4 linked regions of the Alligator mississippiensis genome follow. Each later gene encodes a partner of the first gene's protein in a complex. Links are inferred from orthologs where the notes say so. Each region holds a gene or a part of one and is shown on either strand. Other genes may lie near its edges.

What was found.
Region 2: PPIL2 (region 1) and SNW1 share a complex: the UniProt entries of both Homo sapiens proteins name them as parts of the minor spliceosome. The link is inferred for Alligator mississippiensis from reciprocal best matches to the Homo sapiens genes PPIL2 and SNW1.
Region 3: PPIL2 (region 1) and ARMC7 share a complex: the UniProt entries of both Homo sapiens proteins name them as parts of the minor spliceosome. The link is inferred for Alligator mississippiensis from reciprocal best matches to the Homo sapiens genes PPIL2 and ARMC7.
Region 4: PPIL2 (region 1) and SNRPD1 share a complex: the UniProt entries of both Homo sapiens proteins name them as parts of the minor spliceosome. The link is inferred for Alligator mississippiensis from reciprocal best matches to the Homo sapiens genes PPIL2 and SNRPD1.

What each region holds. Positions count from the first base shown.
Region 1 is NC_081833.1:14,803,584-14,810,882, forward strand, and holds the start of PPIL2 (RING-type E3 ubiquitin-protein ligase PPIL2), read left to right. Parts: upstream 1-4,295; 5' UTR 4,296-4,445; coding exon 4,446-4,477; intron 4,478-5,192; coding exon 5,193-5,242; intron 5,243-7,295; coding exon 7,296-7,299. UniProt on the Homo sapiens protein: Has a ubiquitin-protein ligase activity acting as an E3 ubiquitin protein ligase or as an ubiquitin-ubiquitin ligase promoting elongation of ubiquitin chains on substrates.
Region 2 is NC_081825.1:263,413,069-263,420,067, forward strand, and holds the start of SNW1 (SNW domain-containing protein 1), read right to left. Parts: upstream 3,012-6,999; 5' UTR 2,923-3,011; coding exon 2,909-2,922; exon of another isoform or gene 2,637-2,908; intron 2,435-2,636; exon of another isoform or gene 2,327-2,434; intron 1,854-2,326; coding exon 1,700-1,853; intron 1-1,699. UniProt on the Homo sapiens protein: Involved in pre-mRNA splicing as component of the spliceosome. As a component of the minor spliceosome, involved in the splicing of U12-type introns in pre-mRNAs.
Region 3 is NC_081831.1:12,291,376-12,298,691, forward strand, and holds the start of ARMC7 (armadillo repeat-containing protein 7), read left to right. Parts: upstream 1-4,250; 5' UTR 4,251-4,330; exon of another isoform or gene 4,331-4,411; intron 4,412-4,882; 5' UTR 4,883-4,897; coding exon 4,898-4,964; intron 4,965-5,669; coding exon 5,670-5,813; intron 5,814-7,316. UniProt on the Homo sapiens protein: As a component of the minor spliceosome, involved in the splicing of U12-type introns in pre-mRNAs.
Region 4 is NC_081828.1:137,214,252-137,221,470, forward strand, and holds the start of SNRPD1 (small nuclear ribonucleoprotein Sm D1), read left to right. Parts: upstream 1-4,153; 5' UTR 4,154-4,291; coding exon 4,292-4,305; intron 4,306-4,936; coding exon 4,937-5,013; intron 5,014-7,219. UniProt on the Homo sapiens protein: Plays a role in pre-mRNA splicing as a core component of the spliceosomal U1, U2, U4 and U5 small nuclear ribonucleoproteins (snRNPs), the building blocks of the spliceosome.

The sequences.
Region 1 (7,299 bases):
GCTGGGGTCAGGGCTGCACCAGGTTCTTCCGGGGGGGTGGGGCTGGGCCAGGCTGTGTTTGGGATGGGTGGCGGCAGTGGTGGGAGGGGAGTTATGGGGGTGGCTGCAGCCACCCCAAATTTTGCCGTAGAAACACCTCCCCCAAAGACCTCCCAGTGCCATTGCTGCCCACCTTGAGCGTAGCCTGGCCCAACCCCTGCTTCCCTACATGCCAGAAAGAGCCCAGTGCAGCCCCAGCCTGCAGCTGCAGCCCCCTTCCCCTGCGTAGATCCAGGGGCACCTGCCCCGCCCCATGCCTTCCCAGGGTACACGCAGCAGCAGGAACGGCCCCACTCCTGCCCTGCACCCCCCAGATGAGCTGTGGCTCCATCCTGTGCCTACCCTGACCCAGCTGAGCAGCACTAACCCCTGCCACAGCCCCATGCCTTCCCTTACCACAGGGCCCTTGATCTGCACCCCCCACACCCCTTCCCTCCCCCCTCCCTTTCTACCACAACAGACTTACCAGCTGCATGCAGCTCTCCAAGTTGCTGGACTGTACTTGCTGCTTGTGTGCTGCACTGTGGCTATGCACTTACACGGGCATTTATCAGCCAAATTATTGGCCATATCAGGCCGATTTCCGATACAATCAATTTTTTTTACATCTGTGCTGATCCAATATCGGACCGATGTATCGGTGCACCTCTAGTATGTGTTATAAACCACCAGACCAGGAGGGTGAGGTGGATGAAGCCTTCTTCAGACAGCTAGTGGAAGTTTCCCAATCACAGGCTCTGGTTTTCATGGGGGACTTCAATCACCCTGACATCTGCTGGGAGGGCAATACAGCAGTGTGCAGGCAATGCAGGAAGTGTTTGGAGAGTGCTAGTGGCAACTTCCTGGTGCAAGTGTTGGAGAAGCCAACTAGAGGCCATGTTCTTCTTGACCTGCTGCTCACAAATAGGGATAAATTGACGGGGAATGCGGAAGTGGATGGCAACTTAGGTGGTAGTGACCATAAAATGATAGAGTTCAGGATCCTGAGGAAAGGAAGGAAGGAGAGCAGCAGAGTAAGGACCCTGGACTTCAGAAAAACAGACTTCGGCTTGCTTAAGGAACTGATGGGCAGGATCCCCCTGGGAGGCCAGTCTGAGTGGGGAAGGAGTCCAGGAGAGCTGGAGTTTATTTTAAATAAACCTTACTGAGGGCACAGGAATTAACCATCCTGATACACAGGAAGACTAGCAACTATGACGAAAGACCAGCTTGGCTTAGCAGGGAACTCTTCAGTGAGCTAGAACACAAAAAGAAATCTTACAAGAAGAGTATAAGAGTATTGCTTGGGCACAGAAGGATAAAATCAGGAAGGCCAAAGCACAATTGGAGTTGCAGCTAGCAAGGGGTAAGAAGGGTTTATATGAGTATGTCAGCTGCAAGAGGAAGATCAGGGAATGTGTGGGCCCCTTACTGAAGGGGGAGGAAACCTTGTGACATGATGTGGAAATGGCTGAAGTCTTCAATGCCTTTTTTTACCTCAATCTTTTACCACAAGCAAGGTCAGCTCCCAGGCTGCTGCACCTGTCAACACAGTTTGGGGAGCAGCCAACAGTGATGAAAGAACAGGTTAGGGACTATTTAGAAAAGCAGGATGTTACAAGTCCACGGGCCTGAACACAATGCACCAGAGGGTGCTAGGGGAGGGGTTGGCTAATGTGATTGCAGAACCACTGGCCATTATCTTTGAAAACATGGTGATTGGGAGAGGTCCCAGACGATTGGAAAAGGGCAAATATAGTGCCCATCTTTAAGAAAGGGAAGTAGAAGGATTCAGAGAACTACACCCTACAGCAGGGGTGGCCAGTTATTTTGGGCAGAGGGCTGTTCACTGAGTTTTGGCAAACCATCAAGGGCCACATGACAGGCAGTCAGGGGCAGATGAATATTAATTTTCTAAAATTTTTAGGGGCCCCGTGGGCTGGATAGAATGGCCTGGCGGGCTGCATTTTGCCCATTCCTGCACTACAGGGACTGAGGTGATGCCTCACCTTAGTCCCAGAAAAATCATGGAGCAGGCCCTCAAGGAATCCATTTCTAAGCACCTGGAGAAGAAGATGATTAGGAACAACCAGCATGGATTCACCACAGGCAAATCATGTCTGACCAACCTGGTTGCCTTCTCTGATGAGATGACTGGTTCTGTGGATATGGGGAGAGCAGTGGATGTGATAAAACTTGACTTCAGCATGGCTTTTGATAGGTCTCTCACAACCTTCTCACAAGCAAACCAAGAAAGTACAGGTTGGATGAATGGACTGCAAAGTGGATAGAAAACTGGCTGGATCATCAAGATCAATGGCTTGATGTCTAGTTGGCAGCTGGTATCAAGTGGAGTGTCCCAGGGATGGGTCCTCACGTTGGTTTTGTTCAATATCTTCATCAACGACCTGGAAGATGGGATGGAGTGCACCCTCAGTAAGTCTGCATATTACTTTGGTTCCAAAGAAGATGGAGCTAAACTGTTCCCAGTGGTGGTAGATGACAGAACAAGGACCAAAGGTGTCAAGTTGCAGCGAGGGAAGTTTAGGTTAGATATTAGGAAAAACTCTCATGGGGAAGGTAGTAAAGCAGTGGAACAGATTACCCAGAGAGGTGGTGGAATCTCCATACTTAGAGGTTTTTAAGACCCAGGTAGACAAAGTCTTGCCCGGGATATCTAGTTGGGGATGGTTTTGCCTGAGCAGGGCATTGGATTAGATGACCCCCTATCTTTTATAATCCTCTGAGCATCTTTGACACCCTTATGTTAGGGGAAAAATGCGAGTGGAAGAAAAATGCTTCAAAATTAAAAATGTTCCAGGCCCAATTTAAACATGAAGAATCAAAACAGGATAAAAGTCTTTACTGGCTTGAACTTGCGTTCTTAAGATTGCTTTGTGAGCTGTCTATTTAATGACCCCTACATCTGGCACAAAAGGCAAGAAGACTATTGGTGGCTTTTTCTAAATCTGATCTAATCTACAGGGTTTTTTCCTTTATGATGCTTGTGGGTTTTAAAATAGCAGTTCCACATCCCAATTTGTTCTTTCCCTTTTTTTTTTTCTCTCTCACTTTCCCAGAGTCCACCACAACATCAATCTGGTCTTTGATCTGATCTCAGAACACATTCTCAAGGAGATTCTCTTGGTGATAGTGGCTGCTGGCTCATACAACAGGAACCACAACACTAATTTCTGGGGCAAAAATTAAAGTTGGATGGAAATGAATAAAGAAATTACCACATACAACTAAGGATTCTGATAATTAAAATGGCAAGTATGTGTACAGTGCAAATGGGTGAATTTATGTTTTCCTTTGATGTTTGTACTCAGTGCCCACTAAAAGACTTTGTATGAATCAAACCAAGAGCCTCCCACTCTCAGAAATCTGAAAATGCTGGACCGTCGTATGAAACAGTTTTGAAACTGCAATAGAAAACCCAAAGCCAGCTGGGTCAAAACCAAACATGGATCTGTGTACCGCTGTGAATTTGAAGCCTTCAGCCACATCATGGTCTTGTTGGACTTTCCGTTAATTCCAAAAATTAACCTCGGAAGTGGCCAAGTTTGACCTCGGGGCTCAACACCTGAGGCTTTTACAAACTGTTGAGGCTAGCAAGCAGTTGGGCTTCCAAAGTAAGAAAGCTTTTGCAGGTTAATGAACTTGTTTTCTGGAGCTGATCATCTTGATTGCATAAAAGGATTTTAGTAACGCATCTGTTGGGTGAGAAACAGGAAAACTCCCTTAGTCATGTAGGACCTCTAGTGATCAGGCTAGTCCAAATGGAGCACCGGAGTCTGGCCCAGGGAAGAAGCAGAGGGGAAAGTCCTTTCGTTTTAGCTGGGGAGCAAGGAGTGGATGGACAGTAACATTTTAAACGAGGTGTCTGGTTTCATAGGGACTTTTGTGTCTTCTATTGACTAGCTCACCATCGCGTCCTGCTGCATTTTGAATGAACTTGCAAGTGGAGAAGAAAAAGGAGAACGTATAGGAAGAAAGAATTCAAACGTTTTCGCGGTTTGGTACACAGCTGTTCTGGGCAGGAGCTCAGTTTACAGCCCAAAGCGACCCTGCCAGGAAAAGCAAGGCAGCCCCCCCGGGGCGCCGGCTGCAGGAGGTGGCGCAGGGCCCGGGCACTGCTCGAGCTGCACGAGACGCGGGGGCAGCCGCCGCTGCAGTCATCGCCCAGGCGGCCGGAACGTTCCCTCGCGGCGCCGGCTTCCGGCGGGGCCCTGTGCCGTGGGACGCCGCCTGGCCGGAAGTGGCTGCAGCCGCGGCCTTCCGGGCAGGAGAGGCGTTTCGCAGCCCTCGGCTCCTTCCGGCCGGGCTCGCCCCGCGCGCACCCGGGCACAGCCAGGGGTCCCCCGCCGCGGGCGGGCGGGCGGCGGTGTCTTCTCAGAGCAGCCCCCGCCGCCGCCGCCGCCGCCATGGGGAAGAGGCAGCACCAGAAGGATAAGATGTGAGGGGGAGGGGCGCAGGGACCGTTGGGCTGGAGCCGTTTGGAAGGGGGGGGTAGAGGGTGGGCAGGTGATGGGGGGCGCCAGCGTAAATACTGGGGTTGGGAGTCTTGTCCCTCATAGCGGCGAAGGGGAGCACGAATCACGAATGGCACCTCTAGGTGCCAAGGACAAGCTTCATGAAGGAGCTTTCTCCACTGGACATACTTCCGAGTTGTTTTATTTGCACCACCTTTGGGAGCTTTGCTAGTGTCGGCCTTCCAGAGCGTGCAGGCTCCGGCAGCTCCGAGAGCAACGGCTGCCGGAGACCACCCGAGGAAACGCTTCAGGCCTCAGAGCACCAGTGTGGTTGTGGAGGCTCGTTGTCCCACCCGACGGGACAGCCTAGGATGCGTGCAGCGGCATGGCAGTGCTCCTGGGGCAGGCCGTGGTGCCACCGCACTTGTTGCTGCTACAGGATCACCCCAAAGTGGCACTGAGCATCGGGTGCCAGTTGTGTTGTCTCTTACGCCAGGCCAAACATCGGGGCCTCATGATGCCGACTGCCCCAGTGGGGCTATGGAGGGTGAAGAGGTGAAACCTTGGGTAGCTGAAGATATTTTATTTCTCAGAATGGCAGTCCCAGCGAATAGCAACAGTTCCTTAATATCTGCTAAACAGAGTTAGTGCTATCCCGTAATGCAGCCAGAATTGACTGTTCTCCTTTCTTCTCTTTAGGTACATAACATGTGCAGAATACACAAACTTCTATGGAGGAAAGAAAGCAGGTAAGCAACTGAATGCTGCGCTTAATTATTTCAGTGTTTACTTCTGGTGACAGTTCTTATTTTGCAGGCTTGTTCTCACTTCGCCGTTGTTCCATCTGGAGCAGTGATCCCCGCTGCCCGTGCTTCCTTCTCCTTCCATCAGCCCTCAGTAACTTCTCTCTGAATCTGCTCTAACAAGTTGAAAATATATTCCTCCTATGTATACACAGTTCAAGATTTGTCTTATCCCTTTGATGCGTCTGCTGCCTTTGACATTGATGGATGCACTCTCCTTTGCCACATCCCATCCTTGTGCTCTACGATCATATCCCCCTCCTCCTCCCCCTCTCCCCCCTGAGGTTTCATTGTTCATTTCCCATCTTATGTTCAATGTTTGTTTCTCTCTGTTGCCCTACTTTGTTAGAGTCTTTCAAGGCTTTGTTCTTAGCCTTTTCTCTTTCCCTGTATACCCTCATGCTGCTGTGCAGTTAGCTATCACCTTTTTATTGTTGCTATTCAGGTTCTTCACACTGCTCATCTCCTGTGCCTCAGTCTTGCATTTCCTTCTTTCTGTTAGACCACCCTGGATAATTCACTGCCTTTTCAACATGGGTAGATGTAAATTCCTCCTAAATCCTCTGCAATTCCCATGTTTTCATCTGTGGTTGTCTTCTTCCCAGTTATCCTAAGTTCCTGATGCCAACTGCCTGGATATCTCTCTAACTCCAACCTGTTTCTCTCTTCAAAAATCAGTCTTGTCCAAGCCTTGCCATTCTTTCCTCCTCTTACTTTCCTTTTTTTTTTGTCCTCCAACTAAATTGCTTGTCCATGGCCTGAGTGGGCATGTCTACACGCGCATTTAATTCATAGCAATAAACTCCAACACACATCGCACAGGAGTTTATTCCTCCCAGGCCTGCTGTTTGAATGTGTGCCCAGGACCTCATAAAGTTGAGCCAGACCGGAGCAGCCCTGGCTGGCATGGGGCCCAGGGGGGTCATTCTGCCAGCCTGGGCCTGCTCCCATCTGGCTCAACATGCTGCAGAGGGGCAGGCTGGAGCACAAGTATGCTCCAGTGTGGGGCTAGCCAGTAGGCAGCCCCTGCACTAAAGCACCTTCATGCCCTAGCCAGCCGGGTCAGCATCTACAGATGCATTGTTGCTTACAAAAAAACTGCAGCAGGATAGTACCTGTATTTACAAGTACTAACCTGCTGTGGAGTTCAGTAGTTTCCTGCAGCCTAATAGGCCACACATGTAGACACCAAGACATTTGCTGTGGAGCTAATTGAGCAACTCCACAGTAAACATCTTGTGTAGACATGCCCAGTATCTCCCATCTACAAGTATCTTCTCCTATTCCAAAATGTCCTCACCTCAACCACATCACCCCCATATTCCAATTTTGGCTTTCTTTACTGATTTTATGTTCTCTGTTAATTTTTTTTTTCACTCTTGACATTGAGCCCTGTTTCTGCTTTCCTCTGCTTATTGTAGCCATCTTTGCAAGTAATATCAGTAGAAAGGCCTCTTTTTGTATCTTTTTTCACAGACATTTCTCTCCTTTTCTTCTGGCTACCACTTGTGTTTGGAATGTCCTCTCCAAACTTGTATACATAGTGAATCTGATAGCATTTGGTATATTGTCAATTTCAGTGTTTCTTCTTAATAATAAGTCAACTTCTTTTGGTCTTTGGGTTTTTAAAACAGCAACAAGGGGGAGTGAGTTTAAAAATGAGGTAACATGGTACAAAACCACAAACAAATGGAAAGGGAATAAAGATAAATCTGGAGCTATTTGAAATGTTGGGCTTTATTCATTTGCATACTGTCCTTTTTAGAGCACACTTGAAGTTCCAAAGATATTGATGTACAAAGTGTTGGCTTTTGTTTATAGTTTTGCAGGATTTGGAATGATTATTTTTGTTACCTATGAATTATTACCAGATGTACCAAATACTGTGGCTTCCAAACATGTATCATGTAGGGTTGATTAAAAATGTCTGAAGAACTGTTAAATATTCAAATGACTGTTTATTCAGAAAAAAAAAATGTTTTATGTTTTTTGCAAACAGATAT
Region 2 (6,999 bases), on another chromosome or scaffold:
ATTGTCAATGTCCGAGTTACCCTGCACCACAGCATACTGTTTGGGTAGGTAGCAGAATTTAGATTGTTTTGTTTTTTTAAATAGAAGCCACTAATATGCATTTATCTCCCTCAGAGAAATATCTATAATTATCTGTTATACTAAACAGGGGTCTATTGTCCTGACTGGAATATGCATCCATTATCATACCAGTGATACAAATAATAAATTGGAGAGGGATTCATATGCGAATCAGTATTTAACATTTGTGATCTTTACCACTATAATAAAAAGCATTTGTGGACCTATGAAAGGCACAAGATTCACAGGCTTTCTGTTGAGGATCTGTATTTACCACTTAACACACAAAAAAAGTGCAATTTTTTTTCCCCAAAAAGACAAATTTATTCTGCTGCTAAATGACTAAAATTTCCTGCCAACGCTTATAGTGGGCACAGTAAGAATGCCCAATTCCAAGTTATCAGATTTCTCCAGCATGACATGCACTATCACTTGGTTTAGAATTACAGACCCCTATACTTTTTATTATTCCCCCTTTCATATAATACACAAATGCTAAAGCACTTAATAAACTGATGAGATTGATATCTTGAGCTAGGCTATCCTGAGTCAGTAACAGTATCATAAGTCAGTAACAGTTAAAGCACATGTAGTATTAGTTGTCCCAGCATGCTAAGAACAATCTTGTAAGGGAGGACAAATGCAACATGAAGCATTCCCAGTGAGGTGCTTCAGTGTTTTCATCCATGAAATGTTTTCAATCATTCATTCAATGTTTTCATCCAGTTTCATCTTTCATCCAGTTTTATCCATGGTCATTTTTAAACATTTGGGCTGATTTGTAGTGGAATATATTTTATATTACACTGATGAACTACATGGAAGATTTTGTGAAAACCCAAAGGGTGAATGAAATACTATACAGGTAAATTTGCTATGAAAAAGCGAGCTATAAATATTAGTGCAGGGGTTGTCAACCGGGAGTACGCGTACCCCTGAGGGTACTTGAGAAGGCCCTAGAGGGTACACATGGGCAGGTGGCAATGGAGCACCACCTGCCCAGCCAGATCTGAGGGGGGGAGGGGGAAGCTTGCAAGCAGCAGCTGCCACACTGCATTTGGCTGTGCGACACCCCCCACCAGCCACTGGGGAGGGTTCAATAAAGAATGCATTATACAGTGTAACTAAGAGGTTTCTAAAGTATGCAATACAGTAAAAGCCATGTTATCCGGCACTTTATTAACTAGCATGTTCTATTAACCAGCATGCTGGTCAACACTGCAAAAGTGAAACTGGAAGTCCCACTTCCAGTTTCACCAAGTCCACTTCACCAATTTTGGGGCATGGCCCCCTTCTTGTCCCCCAGCACAGCACACTGATGCCAGCAAGTGAAAGCCTGGCACCAGTCTGACCAGGCAAAGATGCCTCTCAGGTAACCAGCATATTTGGTTATCCAGCACCCCCCATTCCCCATGGGTGCTGCATAACAGAGCTTTTGCTGTTATAAACCAAATGAAAAAACAAAACACACTTCCACCTAGCCTGTTGAATATACAGCCAATTCCCACACAGCCAGGCTCACACAATCCTCCATGATATAATCCAAGTGCTCAGAATTCACCTCTGCTTCAAAAAGAGAGGAACAAAACTTATTTTTCAGGGGGAGAGACTTCATTAGAGCATGAATTCAAATATTTACCTCCAGCATTCGTGGTATCCATCCTTTCCGATAACCATATGGAGGCGGTTCTCTGCGTGATGAAACCAGTGCTGTTTGTCTTGATCGCTGAGCTCTTGCTCTTTCTTCTAATTCTAGCTGGTCCTGAGACAGCTGAGTTGGAGCTGGCAAAAAACTGCAAAAAATGGGAGAAGGAATTTTAATCTTATATTTTCACACTCTCCATGCCTGAGATTGAATGCAGTACTTGATTCTGCTACTACGGTATTCAAAACAATTGTTCATCTGTCCCTGGTCTGTATTGGATCATACGCAATGTACAACACTTGAGCATTTCACTTTCCAGTTATGCAGCAGCTACTCTGGAATTTAAACGGAGAAGAGAACACAGTCTCTCCCCACCAGGCCAAAAGATTTCTATGGGGTTTGATAAAACCATCATCCACATTTCCACCCCCCTGGCTCCAGGGCAGGAGCCATATCTACCTTCTCTTTAGCAAGGCAATAACGAACTTGAAAAACCCTACACAAGTCTGCATCTAAGTATGCTTTCCACTGCTCTTGACAACAAGGTGAAAAATATCCAAGTTTCAAGCATTTCCATACCTAAGTGACTTAATGAAAAAAAAATAAGAAAATTGTTTCTACCCTAATTATGTGTGGTGCAAAGCACTAGGCCCAAGGAGGGCTTCCCCCTTCCATAGCACTAGTGCCCTCTTCCTTCTGGACAGAAGCAGAAGATCCCAAACTCTGGGGAAGCCTGCGGAGGCTGCCTGCCTGCCTGGTAATAAGGCCCCTTCTGACCCTGCCAGGGTCTGAGGAGCCTGGAGAGCAGCTCCCGGGGCGCAGCGGGGTATGCCCGCTCCCGGGACTGGAGGGGGGGGGGGCGCTTCCCGCCGAGCAACCAGCCACCCCCTGCTCGGGGAAGCCGGGGGGGGGGGGAGGGGAGAGAAAGGGGAGCGGCTGCCCTCGCGCAGGACAGGGCGGCGGCAAGGGGCTCTCCCGCCCCAGGGCGGGACGCCCAGTGCCGGCCATGCCCCCCAACGGTGCCGGGCCCCGGGGGTGACGCTTGCCCCCGAAGCGGGCGCTCCCAGCTGCGGGCCGGGGCCCCTGGAGCAGCGCCGGGGCTGGAGCCCACTCCCCCACAGCCAAGGAGCGCTGAGGCCAGGCGAGGAGGGCGGGGGAGAGCCCCGACCCCGCACCGGGGCGCACTCGGCCGACCACACCGACCTGGTGAGCGCCATCTTGTCTCCTCCTTTCTCTTCACCAGGCTCCAGGCCGTGCGGCGAAGCCGGGTGCCAAACCGAGCAGGCGCGGGCGCGAAAGGGCTGCTGGGAGTTGTAGTCTCTTGTCTCTATTACGCAGGGCGGTCACATGATCCAGTGCGCAGGCGCACAGGCTGAAGGCTCCCTCGGCGCGAATCTTGGTCCCGCTAACGACTCTAGGCGGCTCCAGTGTTCCACTGCGCATGCGTAAAAGGCTATTGCTTTGCTCGGCGCCGGACTGTGGGCTGGGCTTGTAGAGCTGCGGGGCTGGGGAGTACGTGCAGGATGGGGCCTGGGTTCTGCACCAGAGCTGCAGAGCTGTTCAGGGGCGTCTGCTAGTTGCAGGCTCAGCCCAGCCTCTCTTGTGCACCACAGTGGGGTCCAATAAAGGTTGATCTTTTTTTCTTTTTTTTAAGGAAACATTTTCATGTTCCAGGCCAAATCAGACAAATCCATTCCAAATCCATGACTTATTCAAGAACCATATGTGGCCCTACTACCAGCAAACATCCTCCACCCCACCTGGGGCTTCAGATGTTTACAAATTATTTGGCAGGCATCCTATGTGCAGGTCCAAGCCCAGAGGCTTGGGGTTCAGATCCCCCCAGGTTTTGCTTGCCCTCAGCCATATGGCTTCAGGAGCAAGCTAGGGAGGAGTCTCCCAGTTCCATCAAGTGGGCATAAAGCTAAGATCTTCCCACTGAAAATTGAAGTGGGAGAGTATATATTACCTCTGTAGGTACTACCCCATGCCAGAAAAGTGGTTATCTTCTGTCCCTGGGAAAACCTCTATGGTGATCATGGCATTTTCGCATCATTCATGACAGATGGCAGCATTGCGTGGCCCCAAGCAGCAGTGCCTTCACTGTGACATTACCTTGTTGGGCACCCTCATAGCACTGAGCTCTGGGACCTGATCCGTGGTGGGTACCATGGCCCTATCTTCAGTACGGAGCCAGCCTGTGGCACTGGCGCAGGGCTGGCATACCTGTGTTTGCAGGGTCCTCTAGCGTGGTGATGTTCAAGCTTTTTGACCCCATTGGCCAGAAGAGAGGCATAGGGCTGGTCTATAGGCCAGAAGAAGCCCTGCACACTGCCATTAGGCCCCACAGGGCCTCAGCTGGCCCCTGCCTGGGGCCTGGCACTACCTCCTCCCTGCCCCAAGGAGCAGGAGCAGGAGCAGGAGCAGGTCCTGAGGCCTGGCACAGCCCCTGCCTGGCCACGGACACTGGTTGGAGTGCAGGGCCCAGGGCTCCCCACAGGTCCAGACATCTGGCAGCAAGGGAACTGTGCCACCACTCCCACTCCAAACCCATGGAGAGCCCTGCAGGCCAGATGATGTGGTACCAGGAGCCAGATCTGGCCCATGGGCTGAGCCCCCCATCTCTAGTGCAATGGCTCTCAACCATTTTAGATCAAGGCACCCCACTGCAGTTCTGAATTTAGTGGTGCCCCTTTTCAAAATCCTATAAGTGGTGACAGGTTTAGAACTTTTTTTCTGAAGCTTCTTTACCTTAGATGAGATCTCTTCACAAAAATTATTTATAATGTTTTAATTTAAGCACGTGGGAGAAGTTGTAGGAACACAAGAAGTCAGAAAATGAGACCACTGCAGGGTCCCAGCCCCATAATTACATGGGTACAGTGCTTTCACTACAGGATAGGGACTAGGGTTTGCAGACCCCTACCCTGCCACACCCTGAAAGTGCACCACTGGCACTTTCGGGCGTGCCTCTGGCACTTCCGGGTTGGTGGGATCAGCCACGGGGGGACCACATCTCCTGGCACATTCCCCAGCCAGTGCTCTCAGGGGGGGCACTAGTGCTCTCGCTTGCCCCCCTGCCTGGGAACGCTGCTGTCAGGGGGTGCCCCAGCGCTTTCAGGGGGTGCATGTACACCCCCGTGCACCCCCTACACGTCACCACTGGCAGCAGCAGACTCTCCCACAAACAATTCAGGAAGAGAGACATTTTCTGCAAGACCCCAAGGAAAGCCCCTTTTTCTGCAGCTTGGATGTAGGGTCTAGCTATTGGAGACAATTTAGGATGCTGGGAGCCAGTGAGTATACACTTAGCCTGAGTGAGAGAGGTAGAAAACAGCCTATGCAAACTGCCCAGTGCCTCAGTTAGGACACAGCCCCAAGCTTCAGCTCCACACCTGCTCCCAGACTGGCCCCGCAGCCCCACATGTCTGTACCTGTCCCTTAATCTGCAGCTTCTGTTTCTCCCACTGTTGCTTCCTTGTGAGAAGCTGCACCTCATTCTCCATTGGCTCATCCTCCCCAGTTCTCTCTCCATAGGCACTGGGGGCTACCAACACCACCCAGTACAGGCTAAGCCAGCTCAACCAGCCTCTCCTGACTTTGAATGCTTTGAGTGGCTCCACAAGACCCCTATGCAAGGCACAGACAGGTCATGCCAGGCCACTTCCAGAAGGATGCATACATGTTAAAATGTCCTTAGAAACATGTTGCAGCACCCCAGGGTACCACAGCACCTGGCTGAGAATCACTGCTTTAGTGAAGATGCTGCATATATCAGCCCAAAGGTTTTTCTCCCTGCATATTTGTACCACCTCCTGAACTAGCATAAGCTAAGCCAATAAAGCCCTTTTCTGCCTGCATAATGGCATCCATAGCAGCAGTTTTGCTAGCATTACTATGTCAAGTAGGGGTTGTAATCTTTTCAACGCTGTGTCCCTATAGCTGATGTAACTATAGTGTAGACCAGGTTAGTGTCATGAAGTACCAACAAAATGAGCCAAAATTATAGTTTCCTGCCCCCTTGATATATTTCTGGTATCTGCAAGCTGCTGCTGCTGGGAGAAATGTTCCAGAAAATGTGAATAATCCCTAAAAATTACATCAGGTGGAGATTCTGAAGGATGGGAGCTTGATAAAATATTCAGATATTTTCTCAGGCCTCTTTTATAAAAAGCTCCCAACAAGCCATGCAACTTTACTTTTTAATTACCTATCAGAAGGACAAAGTGTCCCAGGGAGGGACAGAATATATTGTGCAAGTAGGACTGCAATGAAGCTCTTTGCTAATTTTGATATCTAGTACCTGGATACCACAGATAGATGCATTAGAGAGAGAATGATAGAGAGAGTGATGAAAAGTGCTATGTAAGTGGTAAATATTATGATCAGTATTATGAAACTCTGTCACATTTAAAATGTTCTTAACTAGGCTTAAAAGTAAAAAAAAAATCTTTTGTACTAAATTTAAATGCCAGCTGCTGCACTGTATGTGTGTACTGGGCATACATTCACATACCTCCACAGAGGTTTTTTCCCGTGATTCAAATTTCCAAGAGGCTGAAAGAGAAGGAATCTTTTGAGATTTAGATAAAGAAAACTGTTCATGGGAAACCCCCCCAGAAAAAAAACAGTAAATTCTATTAGCCTGTGGAAGGTAGACCAGTTTTACTAAAAGAAGTTCATCATGAAATAAGGTAGTGCTGGGAGTAGGGATGGAAGAGTCCAGTTCTCCATAAAGTCAGTAGAACAAAATTAATTATTTATTAATTATTACTACTGCTTATATTATATTGGTACTTAAGGCATGGCAGAAAGCAGGGCTGCATTGTGTCAGGCATTGTTTTAGATACAAGGTAATAAAAAAATCCATGCCTGGAAAGGTTTACTATGTAGCCCAGGGGTATCAAAGAGTCCAACCAAGAGCCTTTCAAAAAGTCCAGCAAAGTCACCTCAAAGACGTCCTTCCAAATCAATATGTTTCCTATTTACAATATAAATACATTATATACATATTACTCATCTATAATTGATTGAGTACAAAATTCTGGGGTATTTTTGACTGAAAATAGGGTATCAGGAACCAATCCCCAATTTATAACATTGTTTCTTATGAGAAAATTGGCATCAAGTTACAACGTTTCGACTTAAGACCCGGGTTTTCAGGAATCCATTGTGTCGTTAAGTCGGAGGACTGACTGTCTGTACTCTATTCTGGGCACTTCAGCCAAAGATACAAAACTTTTTCATACATTGTTTATCTGTAGTAAACAGCAAATCATTTTGCCAGGCCCCAT
Region 3 (7,316 bases), on another chromosome or scaffold:
AGAGGACAGGAAGGGGAGGCCACAAGCTCTAAAGATTGAGAACATAAAGAAAAAGAAACCCGTAACAAAGGTTCCTTTCATTAGCTTAAGGTCATCCAATGATGCAAGGCAGCCCCACTTAATTACCAAGCATAACTGGTTTTTACCGACTTCCCATAGACAGTCAAGCTGAAATCAGCTTTAATTATATACAAACACTAGTGCCTCAACCAGATTATAAACTACTAGAACCTAGGCAGAACAAGGAGAATTGGCCAGGGACACACACCCCTCCGAGGCCCCTTTGCTCTGTTTCTGCAGGTCTCATCAACCTTTGGGCTCCTCCGCACTTTTGCAGTAAGCGTGTCTGTGTACGGCTGTGGCATACAAACCAGGAAGTTCAGACTTAAATATTCAAGGATTCTAATCAAACTTCACATTCTCACTGATATTTAACCAATGGAACCATTGCTGCGGTCCTATAAAAACCAGAGCTGAGAAGGGTGACATTCAGACACAATCTGTACCATTTCAGCTGTATTTAAGGCACTAATGACTGTAGAATCAAGCCCATCCCTAGATTGCCATGCTGGAGACTGGGGTGATACACACATGCTACAACCTAAAACTCACCGAATTGCAGCTGCAGGGGCTACCCCTGTACATGCCTCCTCCATGATATCATCCTGGTTGTCATCAACTGTCCTGGCAAACACCTGGCAGGGACAGCAGTCAGACTTCGAAAGGCTCTAACAATCCCTAAGATAAACAGCAAGTGTCACATGCCAAAAAGATGAGCTCATGGGATCCAATTCTGTATGCTGTTGAGCGGTCTGTAAAGAAAACCATGGCAGTGAGCCAGCTTAAAGGGGACAAATGCACCCACTCTCCCAACAGGTCTTGTCAAGAACGTGACTAGTATTGTCTGTCAGCCTCCCACAAATCTTACATTCAAGTTCTCCAACTCAGAAGCCAGGTGAACATTGTCTCACCCACCTCCCAGGGGGTAGCAGCGCCACCACAAAAACATCCCCCCACACACACCTTCATGTTTAGAGGATGAACATGAGCAGCCAGGGCGATGCTGTCAACAGAGCTAATAGCATATGGGATGCATTAACAGATGCATCACGAGCAGGGCTAAGGAAGTGATACTTCCTTTCTACTCAGCGCTGGTGAGAGCCCAGCTGGAGTACTGGGTCCAGTCCTGGGTGCTGCACTTCAAAAAAGATGTGGACAATCTTGGAAGGGCCACAAGAATGATTAAGGGCCTGGTGGACAAACCTTGTGAGGAAAAAGTAAGGGATCTGGGACTGTTCAGCCCGGGGAAGAGAAGACTGAGGGGGGACTTAGTAGCTGTCTATAAGTATGTAAGGGGTGTACATCGGGAGCTGGGAGAAAAACTGTTCACTAGGGTACCCCAGGGGAGGACAAGGAGCAATGGCCATAAACTGTTAGAGAATGGTTTCAGGTTGGATGTAAGGAAGAACTTCTTTACAGTAAGGGTGACCAGATTCTGAAACAGACTTCCCAAGGAGGTGATGCAGTGTCCAACCTTGGAAGTCTTCAAGAGGAGACTGAACCGACACCTTGGTGATCATTTGATCTCAGTAGTATTCCTGCCCAGAGCAGGGGGGTTGGACTCAAGGATCTTTCGAGGTCCCTTCCAGCCCTTAATTTCCATTGTTCTGATTCTAAATCAATCTGGGCTTATGTCAAAGCAAGAGAAAGACCTCAGAAAACAGATCTAGTGGGTCACAGGAAGACAAGCAAAGCTGGGCCCCTCACCCTGAGCTGATAAGTGATTTTCCCACTCACTAAGCATTAAATAATATGACCTGAAGTGCATCCCTATAGCACATATACTAGCAAATCCAGCTAACGCAGGCTCAAGACATGTGCGCAAGAACAGAAGAGTGATAGTCTCTCTCCTTTTTTCCTCTGTGCAGAATTACAGACTGAGGGACCACAAGTTCAGACCTAGATACCCTCTTCCTTCCCTGCTCCTTCCCCCCCCTCCCATTCAATCCAACTCCCCTCATCCTTCTCTCCCCCCCCTCCACTTCACTTCAGCATCATTTCACCTCCCAAACTCACCTCAGTGGGCTTCCCCCTCCCTCACAGCCTCACACTGGCCCCTGAATTTACTGCTGCCTTCTGCACACCACTTCTATTTCTAGAAACCTCAGCAAGAACAACAGATCTAGTTCACACCAGAAAAGATTTCCCAGTGGACTCGTACCAGCAAGCCCTCCTGGGCAGATGCTGCTTGGACCAGCAAAACAGGTGCTTTTGCAGCATAGCTATGACCTGCTCCCCAAATAACATAACCCATGCCAATGAATGCATTTTCTTCTGGTAGGGCTCTGTGCATTAGGGCTTCTGCTGCTACAGAAGTGTCTAACTCAGTCATTAACAACTTGGTTGACATCACTATATCCATGGTGGTATTGGGGGAGTACAAACTTGGCAACTGCACTGAGCTCCAAGTTGGACAGAGACCCTTCTTGCATTACAACAGTTTTGGTCTGGTTGCTTAAAAAGCACAAGGGTCCGAAACAGACCCACCACCTAGGGCCCCTCAAAAAGATGAACCCCACCACCGATGACACCAGCAAAAGTTTCAGCATAGGCTTGCCCTCAACCTATAAGCTTGGGTAGAAGTACCACCGTATCTAACTGGCTACAGCCAGGTCATTTGGCATCATCTGATGTGTAACTCAGTACTGCATTTAACTCGTTTCATCAATCATTTGTCTCTGCAATGAGTTCCCTGCTTCATAGTTTAAGCCATGCCCACACTCTGGAGCTGCACTCATTTAGCTTAAATGGGTTTAAAAATGAACTTTAACCGGTTTCAAATTACTGTCAGTTAAGCTGATGCAACTCTGTATTCAAACCAGGGCACTGTATTGCTAGCCTGTCGTGGCCTCCCATGTTTCTGTCACAGCCCAGGCTTCACTCCACTTTTTCTGTTCTCATTCACACATCTGGAGGTGCCAGTATTGTTCCCACTTTGCAGTCTCTGCCTTGTCTCTCTCTTTTAACTCTTGTTCTGACATTTCCCTCCCTCTCCCGCTCCCTGAGCATCTCAGCCCAATGATACATTTCAAAAACACACATCATTCCTCCCTTTCCCACCCATGCACGCACTGCCCCTTCCCTGTGAATTTTTGCTTCTCAAATCCGTTTCTCTAATCATTTACTGAAGTAAAGAAAGGGGGAGATGCTGGGATAAAGACTTCTGTTTTGTCCAGGGTAAGTAAATCTTGCGCTGCCCGGGCCTGCCAAGAGGCTGATCAATGTCATGAGTCTGGGAACAAGCTGTTTGTTCTCCTAGTAGTGACTCAATGAAGCGATTACAAACAATTCAGAGAAGTTATGGGACAAGGGACAAATAGTCTGTACTAGGGAAATACAAAGGTGAGCAGGTAACTAACACCGAAGAGAAATGCTGACCCTTCCGAGAGGGTCATTGAAGACTCCACCGTCCAGAACTGCAACGATTCTCCACGACTTGCCGAGTCTGAAGTGCAAGTACTCATCTCCTGACCAGGGAGAGTGGGCCCTTCATTTTTTCAAGCAAAAAATATAGGCAAAAAAACCCCTCTCTCATCCAGAGCTGGAGGCGGGCTGTGAATGTCACCCCAAGCAATCTTCAGGGGTCAAGACTGGGTGTTTTATGCCTGAGATTTTCAGTCCCACTTTAGGATGAACCATCAGGCAAAGACACTGGCTACACGTCTTATTGGCTGGGCAGAAGGTGTGCAACACCCACCCAGCGGAAACAACAGGCTAGAAAAACTCCTTCAAGCGGCATGTACGCTCATGCATGCAAAAATACAGCCGAGCCGTTCGAGCCCTCGTATATCAGCTCGTGACAGAAGTGGGAATTATTATGATTCCATTTTCCAGACGGAGAAGCCAAAATGAAGAGGGTCACCTCAACGAGGAAAGCAGCCGTGCCCCGGCAGGTTTAGCTAGTGAGTACTAGTCAGTGAGTACTAGACCTTTTCCCCAGTGCAGATTCAGGGCAACAACCTCCTATGGTGCAATCCGTGAGGTGAAGTAGGTAAAAGGGCTCTGCCAACACCTGGCCTGGCCCAAACCCAACTCTCCTCAGTGACCGGGGGAGGGGGCCGAGCTCCTGCTCCTGGGCCCGCAGCGCTCCCGCCCCCAGGCCCAAACCGGCCCCGCCCCCACCCGGAGACACAGGAACCACTTCCGGCTCAGCGCCTTCGGCAGCCACTTCCGCCCTTCCCTGAGCGTCCCTATACGTCACTTCCGCCCTCTGTCCTGCAAGGCGCGGGGCGCCGCTGTCCCATGTGAACCCACTCCTGCCCTGCCGCCGGTTCGGGCCCCGCGCGGTCCTGGGCGCAGGTCCCGCCATCCCCGGGCCCTTCCCCTGCCGCTCTGCTTTCTGCTCCATGGGGTGTGCTGCCTGCCTGCTCTTTTTGTTCCCAGCCCTAACTGCTGCTCTGCTTTCTGTGCCCTACCTAACCAGCTGCTCTTTCTGCTCCCAGCACTGTGCTCCCTGCCCAGTCTGCTGCTCTGCTTTCTGCTCCCAGCCCCATCCGCTGACCGGCTTGCATGGCACGCCCACGCAGGTTGGCCACACTTGTCCTGGGAGAGCAAACAATGCTTGTGGGGGTCAGCCAGGGAACCTGCAGCTGTCCCCAGCCCTGTTCGGGCCCCGCCGTGTTTAGCGGCAGCCCTATCCAAGCCTTGACCAGGTTAACATTTGCCAGAGGACCCCGTGAGATCCCCCTGGGGGGTCTGAAGGGACTCCAAAGAAAATCCAGGGACTGTTTAACGCTCACTCAAACATCTTTGTATTAATCTAGCAGCGAAGATGGGAGACTCTAGGGCCCGCCAAAATAAAGCCCTGTTGTTCTCTTTGCAGGATCAGTAGGATCCAATGGATCTGGGGCGGCTCGAGTACCTGCAGGCCCTTGTCACTGAGTTTCAAGTGACGGAGAGTTCAGGTGAGACTGTGGGATGCAACTTTTTATTTTATTAAGGTGTTTGCTGAGCTTCCGGGTCAGCTGGCTGGTCTGCACGGCTCTCCCTTGTGCACTGCGTGGACAAAATCAAAGGTCTGCCCCAGTCTAATAGCGGGGGTGACACCCCAGGACTGGCACACCATCTTCAGCAGCCAGCAGCACACAAAAAGACAATGTGGCTGGCATTACCCATTCAACACCACAGTCTGAATGACCAGGTGCCCATTTCCCACTGTACCAGCTGGGAGCATCCTTCAGGATGAGCCAAGAGCAAGGCTTGAATGTGAGCCTGTAGAGCAGTGATTCTCAGCCAGCATGCTGTGTGATCCTTATAAGGGTGCCATTGCAATGACAAATCTACAGGAGTCACAAAATAAACCCAAGAGATTTCAAATAGGAATCCACAGCGTCAAAAGCATTGTGACTTGTTGGGGTCTTTCTGAATTCTTTGCAACAGAAGAATTGCTGGATTGTTTTTTCCGCAGTCAAAAAAATGAGCGCGAGGTGAGTTAGCATTTTCCATGGGGTGCCTTGAATTAACCAGTTTGAGAACCACTGCTCTAGGGCCAAAGTAGGACACTGCAGCAGTATAGTTACTCTGCTACCACATCATAGTGGATTCAGTTACAGCTTGTCCCCGTTATCAGTTGTCCCTTTCCTGAATCTGAAGCTGCTTTTATGTTGCAGAAGCCAAGGAACAAGTACTGGCTAATTTAGCCAACTTTGCCTATGATCCCAAGAATTATGAATATCTCCGGCAGCTTCAAGTCCTTGACTTGTTCCTGGACGCGCTCACGGAGGACAACGAGACTCTTGTGGAGTTTGCAATTGGTAAGGATTATATTTAAACGCTTATCGAAGTGCTAATGGAGCACTAGCAAGTCATGGGATGCCAGCCTCACGGCTTCGACCCAGTGGTCCATTTGAGCTTTGGAGAAAGAACGAGCCACTGCGACAGAGATTAATTGTGCTGTTTAATGTAATAGTGGATGGCAGCCAAACATAATGGTGATAAGAACCTCTCTAGGATACAGTAACTGGAACAATGTAAGGGGAGGATGAGAGAGCAGGAAAGGAGGCTGGGGCTTGTTATTTTAGCTTAAGGCAAGTCTCCCCTTCATTTCAGTAGCATGCTGCAGTGCTAACAAAATACATATTTATAGGACTAGGCCAGTCCCTCAATACTGGAACAACAACTCAATTCTAATAGTTATTTTTAAGGGAAGTCTCTGTTGCATAAGACAGTCATTGAGAACAGCTAAGGTTTTGCCAGACAGCCTGTGGAAGTACAATATTCATTTGTTACTCTTGCTCTTGTCAGCAGTTAATGGTAATGATTTATACCAAATAATACAATCCTATCACAGTGAGTCAGCATGGGCTAAATATAAACTTGGGAGCCAGCAATGTCAGATTTTAATCCCAAATGGCAAACAGGGTGAGATGATTGGATAATTAAATACCCTTGGGTCCCATCTATATTACAACTTCCTCTGGCAAGACTTCAGGCAAGTAGCACACACTGTTAGTGTGGGATGCCTGACAGGTTAGTACTGTCCTTACCCATGCACCATGTAACAGATAGTAATCAAATATTGCAAACACAATTAGTACTGACATACTACTTTTAATAACACCTTCCATCAGTAGATCACATAATTAAGCCTCCCTATACCCTCTGTATGAGGTAGCAAAGAGATTTCTAGAAACCCTTTTATTGATTACTGGATTGTAGCCACCTCTGGGATGAAACAGGATAACTGCTCAATTGAACTCTTTGGACTGTTAACCCTCTATTTGTAAAAGTTGCCATGAGATTTCTAGTGACCAGGGTTCTGTCTCTCCTATGAAAAAGACGTTACCTCTGACAGCACAGTGCCCCCTAATGCCATAGAGAAGAGCAAGTGTTTTGGTTGAAAACTCCCTTTGAGGAAGGACATGAGAGTAAATTCAGACCAGGAGGCAGATGATATACACCATGTTAACGCTTGTAAAACAATGTTCTGAGCATTTCTTTCTATATTGGGATCTGGGTGTCAATGATGTGTAAACCCTTGCTTAGCCTTAGGGATTTTATGTACTTTATACAATTGCTATTGCATTATTAGAACATTTCATCCCCAGGATTTAGATGGCTGAAAGGTTTGTCTCTCACTGCTCTAGAGGAAAGTCTCTCTGAAGGATAGGCCTAAGTCAATAGCAGCTAAAGCAAGATATCTTGGGTAACTTCCCCTGCCCTCCACCCCCAAATATAGGCATGTTCTTACCCAAACTTTCACCAAACTAAAACATGTTACAACGATTTAGGCATTTTCATCTGAGTTCACATGTAGA
Region 4 (7,219 bases), on another chromosome or scaffold:
GGAGAGGTCTGTGGTGCTGCTCATGTGTCAACATACCCAGATGTTGGAGTGTTATGATAGACTCAAATCATGTTCTGAGCTAATATAACTTCACTCTAAGAACAGGGAAGTGGAGTTTGCTTTCTAGATTTTACAGTTGAATTTCATTTGTCATAATAGTCCATGTGAGCAAGAGTCCTATTTGTATACATATCACTCTGTTTGCTCCAAACTTAAACAAAAATGTGTATTAATGCTTTGTTTAAAATGTGTGTTGTCTTTTGATGCAATATTCAATTAAATCATTGTTAGGGAGGGAAGAATAAGAAAGTGATTAGACATTTCTGAAGCAGCAAATGTCGGCACTGCCTAAATATTGCAGTCTTCAGACAATACTGTATTACAGTTTGACAGCTTAAGCACGATTCAAATTCAAATACAAGTTGTCTCAAGATATAAATGAAACCTAAGAATGTAAAACTCCTTCTACTGTGTTTATTGAACCCTCTTATGCTAAAGGTCCAAAGTACTACCTTATTTTAAGAACAGTCACCATGTAGAAGATGCACTCCACATTGTTTTTTGTTAGTCACTGCTTCTATACATTTTGGGGTAACCTGTGGAAGAAAACAACTCTGGGGAGATGGACTTCTCTTAAATTCCATTTTTTTGCACTTGGGAGCAAAAGCAACTTGCTTTTCATGCATGATGTTGTAACACTTCTTAAAAAAAAAAAAAAAAAAGACTAAGGTACAAAAATAATTTGTGTTAGTTATCAATAAATGTGTGTCTTAAATTTAGTGCTTCCAAGCTGTATTTAAAAAAATAGATAATCCTAATCAAGGACCAATTTTAAAATATTTTGCCATTTTATTTTATATGGTTTCAGGAAAACCAGACATGAAATTTGCTTAAGACGCTGTGCATTGTTTAATATTTCTTGTAAGTACAGCTGTATATTCATATTGCAATTATGAAGTTTAAATATTAGAAGAAAAATGTAGAATACTAGGGTTAGCACAACTGTTAGTCACTATTGAAACTAGTACACAAAACTGATGCTGCAGTGTATCATTGTGTTATGATTGAAAATATGTACAGTTTTTTTGCAATGGTAATTGTTCATTTTAACCTCAAATGTTTCTGAAGGCCTCTCTGGGTTTTGTTTTTAAACATTACCTGTTATCTGTACATTACTTATACTAGTAAGGAAAAAGCAAAATACCTGTCTAGCTTTTTAGATACTATAATGGAAATATCGGTTGATGGTTGAACTGGAAATTTCTCTAACTTAATCTCAGACATAACTGCATAATAGATAAGCGTGCATCATAGCTTAAAATAATGATTGGAAGGTCTCACTAGCGGGGCATTTTGAAACGTGGCTCAAGTAAATCTTCTGTGCATCCTCTGTTTAAGAGTTTGCAACAAAGACCAAACTTGAATGGTTAATGTACCTATGTAGCAAGACCTGATGTATGTTTTGAGAGTTGGAAGGGTGTCTCTCCTTCAGTACTTTGCAAAGTCTGTATTTCTAAATTCACATATGGTGTACTCCATAAATTACAATAAAATTTCAATCTTTTCTAGATTTTTTTTTTTTGGTCTTTTTTTCCCTTAGAGGTAAATATTTTTAATTGTACCTTATAGGCAAGCAGCACTCAACAACACTGGAGGAAGGCCTAATGGGGGGGGGGAATACAAGGTCCTACTATTTTGCACTTAATTTTAATGGATGATTAGTATGTGAAAATTCTCAAATTAGCATAACAATTCTCTCTCCTTTTTGGAAGCAAGCCTAGAAATGAGTTAGTTATAATAATTTCCTCCCCTTAAGCTTGTTCTGTATTGCCTACACAAGTGTGAGGGGTGAAGACTAGTACTATGGTTGGTTTCTGTCACAACCCAAAGTTGTGGTTTTTGTTTGTGTGTGCTTTGGCACCGCTAAATTATTGTTCCCGCCTAAATTGTAGCTTTCTTTGCACGGTAGAGTTCTCTGCTGCGGGAGAGAACTCTGGTGCAACAGGGGATTTCCCACCAATTTGCAGCTTCTTTGCAGGGTGCATTTCTTTTGCATCTCAGAGATGTACGGTGCAAAGGAGTTCTCGCCATTTGTATTCAGATTCGCGCCACTTTATTGGCCGGCTCTGAATGTAGGCACGCGTGGCGGCTAGCTATTGGCTTGCTAGCTGTACAAAAGGCTCGAGTTGTTTCCGCCCAAGTTGGAGGACTCCACGAACACCAGGAGGAGGAGACTTCACCCAGTGTGAAGATCTCTAAGCACTGCGGATCCTCACGGACCCAACGCGTCTCAAGCAGGCAATAAAGGCTTAATAATCAAGCCCCCAGAGCTCTAACTACTCTGGAGGGAAAAAGGAAAAAGAACGAACCGCCTCCAGCCTCTCCCCGTCGCCGAGCGCAATCCCAGACGTATCCCTTTCCTGTAAACCCAATTTTTGAACCCACGGAGCCTTAACAACTCCGGGGGACCAGGGAACCGAACTGAGCCCGTGCAGCTTCAACAACTCCGTGGGAAAGAATTGCCGAACCTGTGGAGCCTAAACAACTCCATGGGAAGGAATTTGTCGTAGTCTTCCAGCGAGGATTTAAGCGGAGCTGCACCTGGAAAGCTGTCCAGCCTATACCACTACCATCTTTGGGTGTAAGTAAATAATCTTTTCAATCAACCACTACGCGTTTGTGACTGATTCTAGCTCACCGCTGGTTTTCTCCGACCCCGTGTGCCCGGGCTGCTGGCCACAGCCCACGTGTGCAAAAGACGGGCCACGGATCGCCCCTCCCGACTCGCACTTGGCGGCGGGATCGGGGCCTGGCCCACACAGTTTCTTCTACGTTTTTGCTTTATATATCCTCTTTTTAACAAAAAACGTGACCAAGGAAGTGACTACTCATACGTCCTGTATCAAAACACTCACTCCTGCAACATTTTAAAATGTATTTCAGTGTTTCTGTAGATGTTTCTGACCATCTGCAGGGGAGGGGTGGGGTCAGAGAACTGGAGCATCTGAGGGGTACGGGGAGAACTAGAGTATCTGACTCATTAAATATAAAAAAATGAGAAAGTAGTGTTTTTTTGAAGGGGCTGGATCCACCCCTTATTGAAAACCAGCAGTTTAGTATCTGACCTGTGACAGCTTGACTAAAGAGAGGAAATTTATTTCCACAATTTTTGTTTCCCCGACAACTCTCATTACTTGCTGTCAGGTTCTTGTCCCTTCCCCAAAAGAAACCCCCCCCCCCCCTTTTTTTTTTCTTGTGGATTGGTTAAGAATGCCAAGGAGAGGTCTGCACAAGGGGGATATTGTGCACTAGCAAGCAGGTGTTCTAGCTGCCTGGCTTCCCAGCACTGGACCCAGGACTTGGGGAGCCCCCCCAGGTAGGGAACCCCTGACATTCCCAGAATCCAGGGTAGCCCCTTGCTGAGAGATGGCCCCCTCGGCCAATCAGCAGCAAGAGGTATGTCTCCATGACCAATTGGCAGCAAGGGCTGGACCTATAGGACCCTTTGGCCAATCAGTGACAAAGGGTGGAGCCATCACAGAAAAAGGCCTTGGCCCCTCTCCCTGGGAGCCCTGCTTTTCCTAGCTGTGCCCTGACCTAGCTCTAGGCACAGCCAATAGAATGGCATGGACAAGTGAATGTCATGTATTTCCACCAATTAAATGAAAACAAGATGGGGGGGGGGGCAACGTTTAAACCAAGGAGGGATGCCCTCCCTGCTCTTAAGTTTTTTCCATTTATTTATTTTTTTTTTTTGTAATAAGACAAAAGTATTTGGCTGCAGCAGGGTTTGGCACTGGGGCTTCCTATTGGAAACCTCCGGGTTTCTCCTACAACTCCCGTTCATGCCACTTCTGCCCCCTCCGCTGGGACCCGTTGTCCTCCTCCTCCTCCCCCCCGCCCCCGCACTGGGCTGAGCAAGTAAAAGAAAGCAGTCAATGCGGCCGGCCCACCTCCTGCCCGGATTCAAGCTGGGGCACGTGACTGAAGCCCGCCACTCGGGGGCCGAACCAATCCGGTGTCCTCTGGCCTCCACTCCCGCCCCGCCCAGGAGTCCACTGCTCACGCGCGGCGCTTGCAGACGCTGCTAGGCCTCCCCCTAGCCAGCAGGTGGCGGCCGCGCGTTCACACGCACTTCCGGTGCCGCTTCCGCCCATTCATTTGTTAGTAGCTTTTGCCGCTTCCTTGGCGCGAGCCTCCGGCGCGGCCTGGTCTGAGGCCTCCGCACCGGGCTCAATTTTTTTCTCTTTTTTTCTCCGGCCGTTTGCTTCCCGCGGTCTCGGCTGCCGCCATGAAGCTCGTGAGGTGAGGAGGGCCCGGATGGAGCCGGATTTAGGAGCGGGCCCCGGCGGCGGGGAGTGGCGCGCGCCGGGCCTGGGCCTTTCCCGCCTCCTGCCTCACACCCCCAACGCCCGCTGCCCCTCACGGAGCCTCGCGCTCCTTGTCTGCTCCTTTCTTCCCCCTCACCTGCCCGGGTCACACTGCGCCGAGACCCCCGCGAGGGGCTTCGGAGCCCCCCCAATACACGCGCGCACACTGCGCATGCACATACGGCCCCGCGCGCCGGCTGCTCCCAAGGTTCGGTCCCATGGACCAAACTTTGGGAGCGGCCGACACGAGGCCGTATGTGCAGGGTGGGGCACACGCACACATGCATGTCCCCTGCCCCAGCAGAGTTGCTGAACTCAGGTGGGGGGAGTTGGGATGTCTGCCCCTGGGGTGCCCATTCCTGCCTTTGTTGCACCTGCCTGAAGGTCCCTGGCAAGGGGCTGCAGGTCCCTGATGGATTCCTACATTATTGGGTGCTGCTTTGAAGCCCCCCAGCATCGTTAATGTGTGCTCATCACGGCCTTGCCGTGTTCCATCGTTAGGATGTGTTTTTAACTGTGTGTTGGGCACAGAAGATGTGTGTGTTTACCTGTGGTTCGTTCCGCAGGTTTCTGATGAAGCTGAGCCACGAGACTGTCACCATCGAACTGAAGAATGGCACGCAGGTGCATGGCACCATCACAGGTAGGAGGCTCCAGTTGTTGATAAAGCACGGCTGGAAAACCCCCTCTGTCTTCCCAAGCAACTCCACCGCCTTCCCTAAATATTGATGTTTCGGGACACCTCTTGTGAAATGTCTGGTGGCCAAGTTCCTGCGATTGCATCCAAGCACTAGGATAAAGAATGTCAATTCATATTTTTTATTTGTGTATCAGTGCTGGGTGTTCAGGTAATAAAGATGTCTCATGTAAAGGTTAGCAGTTGGTCCAGAAGACAATGAATGGATGTTTTGGACCTCTAATAATCTAGATCTCGCCCAAATACAGATTGTTAGGGCTGCCCATAGTCGTGGTCATCTAGACTCCCTCTGGTCTCCTTTACAATAAGCAGCTGTTGCTAAATGCCAAAGGAGCAGAGATTTGCAGTTTTTTGGATGCTATTTAGAATAATAAGTATCTTCTTTATGGGAATCCTTACCAATCAGTTCTGTTATGTTCTGTGTCTCCCTCTGACCTTCTGCTCTCGTGTGTGCCTGGTGGCCGTTAGTGCTGTCAGCTCTGATTATGCTGCCCGTCTACATCATTTGCTTTCCAGCATGTTCATTAACATAACTTACCCCTCTTGCTAGAAATTGATGCTTGCAGTCCGTGTCTCTGTCTGGTTTTACAGGTAGCTGGGCTCTTTTTTATAAGGGAAGGGGCTCTTGCGAGAGCCTGGCTGCCTGTAGAAGCCACTAGGGCCATGGAAGCAGCGCGCTAAGCTAGCACTGACCTGCCAGCGGTTCTCATAGACTGCCATGAAAATGCTTCGAAGACTCTGGTTTACAGATCATAGATAGTCATGGTAATAAATCAAGAAGGAAGAATATTATTTTCTAATATCGTTTAACTTTCTAATGAGTTGTTTTGGGAGATGCTGAGAGCTAGTGGGTTGATCATAAGAACCAGGTCTCAACACACAAGTGGCTGTGGCAATATCCCTCTTGGGTCTTGTTTACACACAAACTTGCACTGGATTAACTAAAGGCACGTTTACAAAATTGATTTAAACTTCTCCACTTAAAGTCTTACCAACATAGTGAGGATGCTAAGGGGAGAAAGTCGTCCCCCAACCCTTCCACTTCATAATTATGTCAGTAGAAGTGTTTGTGTGCATATAGTTATGCCTGCTTGATACATTTTTTCATTTATATTTTATTTTACTTTTCCAAATGAATAAACTGTAGCCACATACAAATTTTGATGCAGGTATGGGCATCTGCAGCATGGGTTTTTGCCTCTCTTACTTTGTAAGCATAGCTAAATGGCAAAACTTTTTAAAGTAGTAAAACCTTAGTTAAACCAGTACAGATTTGCAGGGTGCTCTAAAACCTGATCTGTTTTGCTACACTTGTATCACTATAAAAGTATTTCCAACTTTAGCAGTGCTTCCAGGCTTAAAGGTTAACTTTTGTATGGCCACAAGCATTCACAGCTGTAATAGTTGCATCTTAACAGTAGTAGCACACTCCCCAGGACTAGCTCCCCTTCCACTTTTAGAGGAGCTAAAATTTTTGTTTGTTTATATTCCTCCTGGCCATAATCCTGTTTTTTTCACAATCTTATACTACTTCAAAGAACCTGCAGTTTAAATGGGCAAGGCAGACGCAGACTGTAGGGGGGGGAAGAGGTACTGGGGCAGAAGCCAAGTGAACAATGTGAGGACAGCAAATGATGAGGGGGTGTACAAATGTGGAATGTAACACAGTTTTCTTAAATGATCACTGTATGGAACACACCATCTCTTTGTGGTTGAAGTTCCTGGAGATGTAGCTGGTGTTTCAGTCTGTTGGGCTGTCCTTTAATGGCTGGGCCGCAGAAGAAAGTGACTTTCTGTTGCTGCGAGCTGGGTAATCAGTCTTTTGCATTAAATGTGAAAGACCTGTACTGGAGGTTCAGGATTCTTGCATTTTTAATGATGGGGGAGAGGTGTTGTTTCAAGAACAAATATTAGATTTGCTTTTATGTAAAAATATATAGGAAATGGTATACAATTGTATATATAGGAAATCCCAGAATTAAGAAGGTTGTCCATTAATTTTGTCTCCTTTATCATAGCACTTACATGATTGGGCTATTTTCCCTGCAGAGCTACTGCCTGGATCCAGTGATAGGATGAGCGGTGCTTAAGGAACAAATTAAATTTATGCTGCTAGTGAGATGTGTTGAGTGAGGTAGGGGACTCCAGGAAG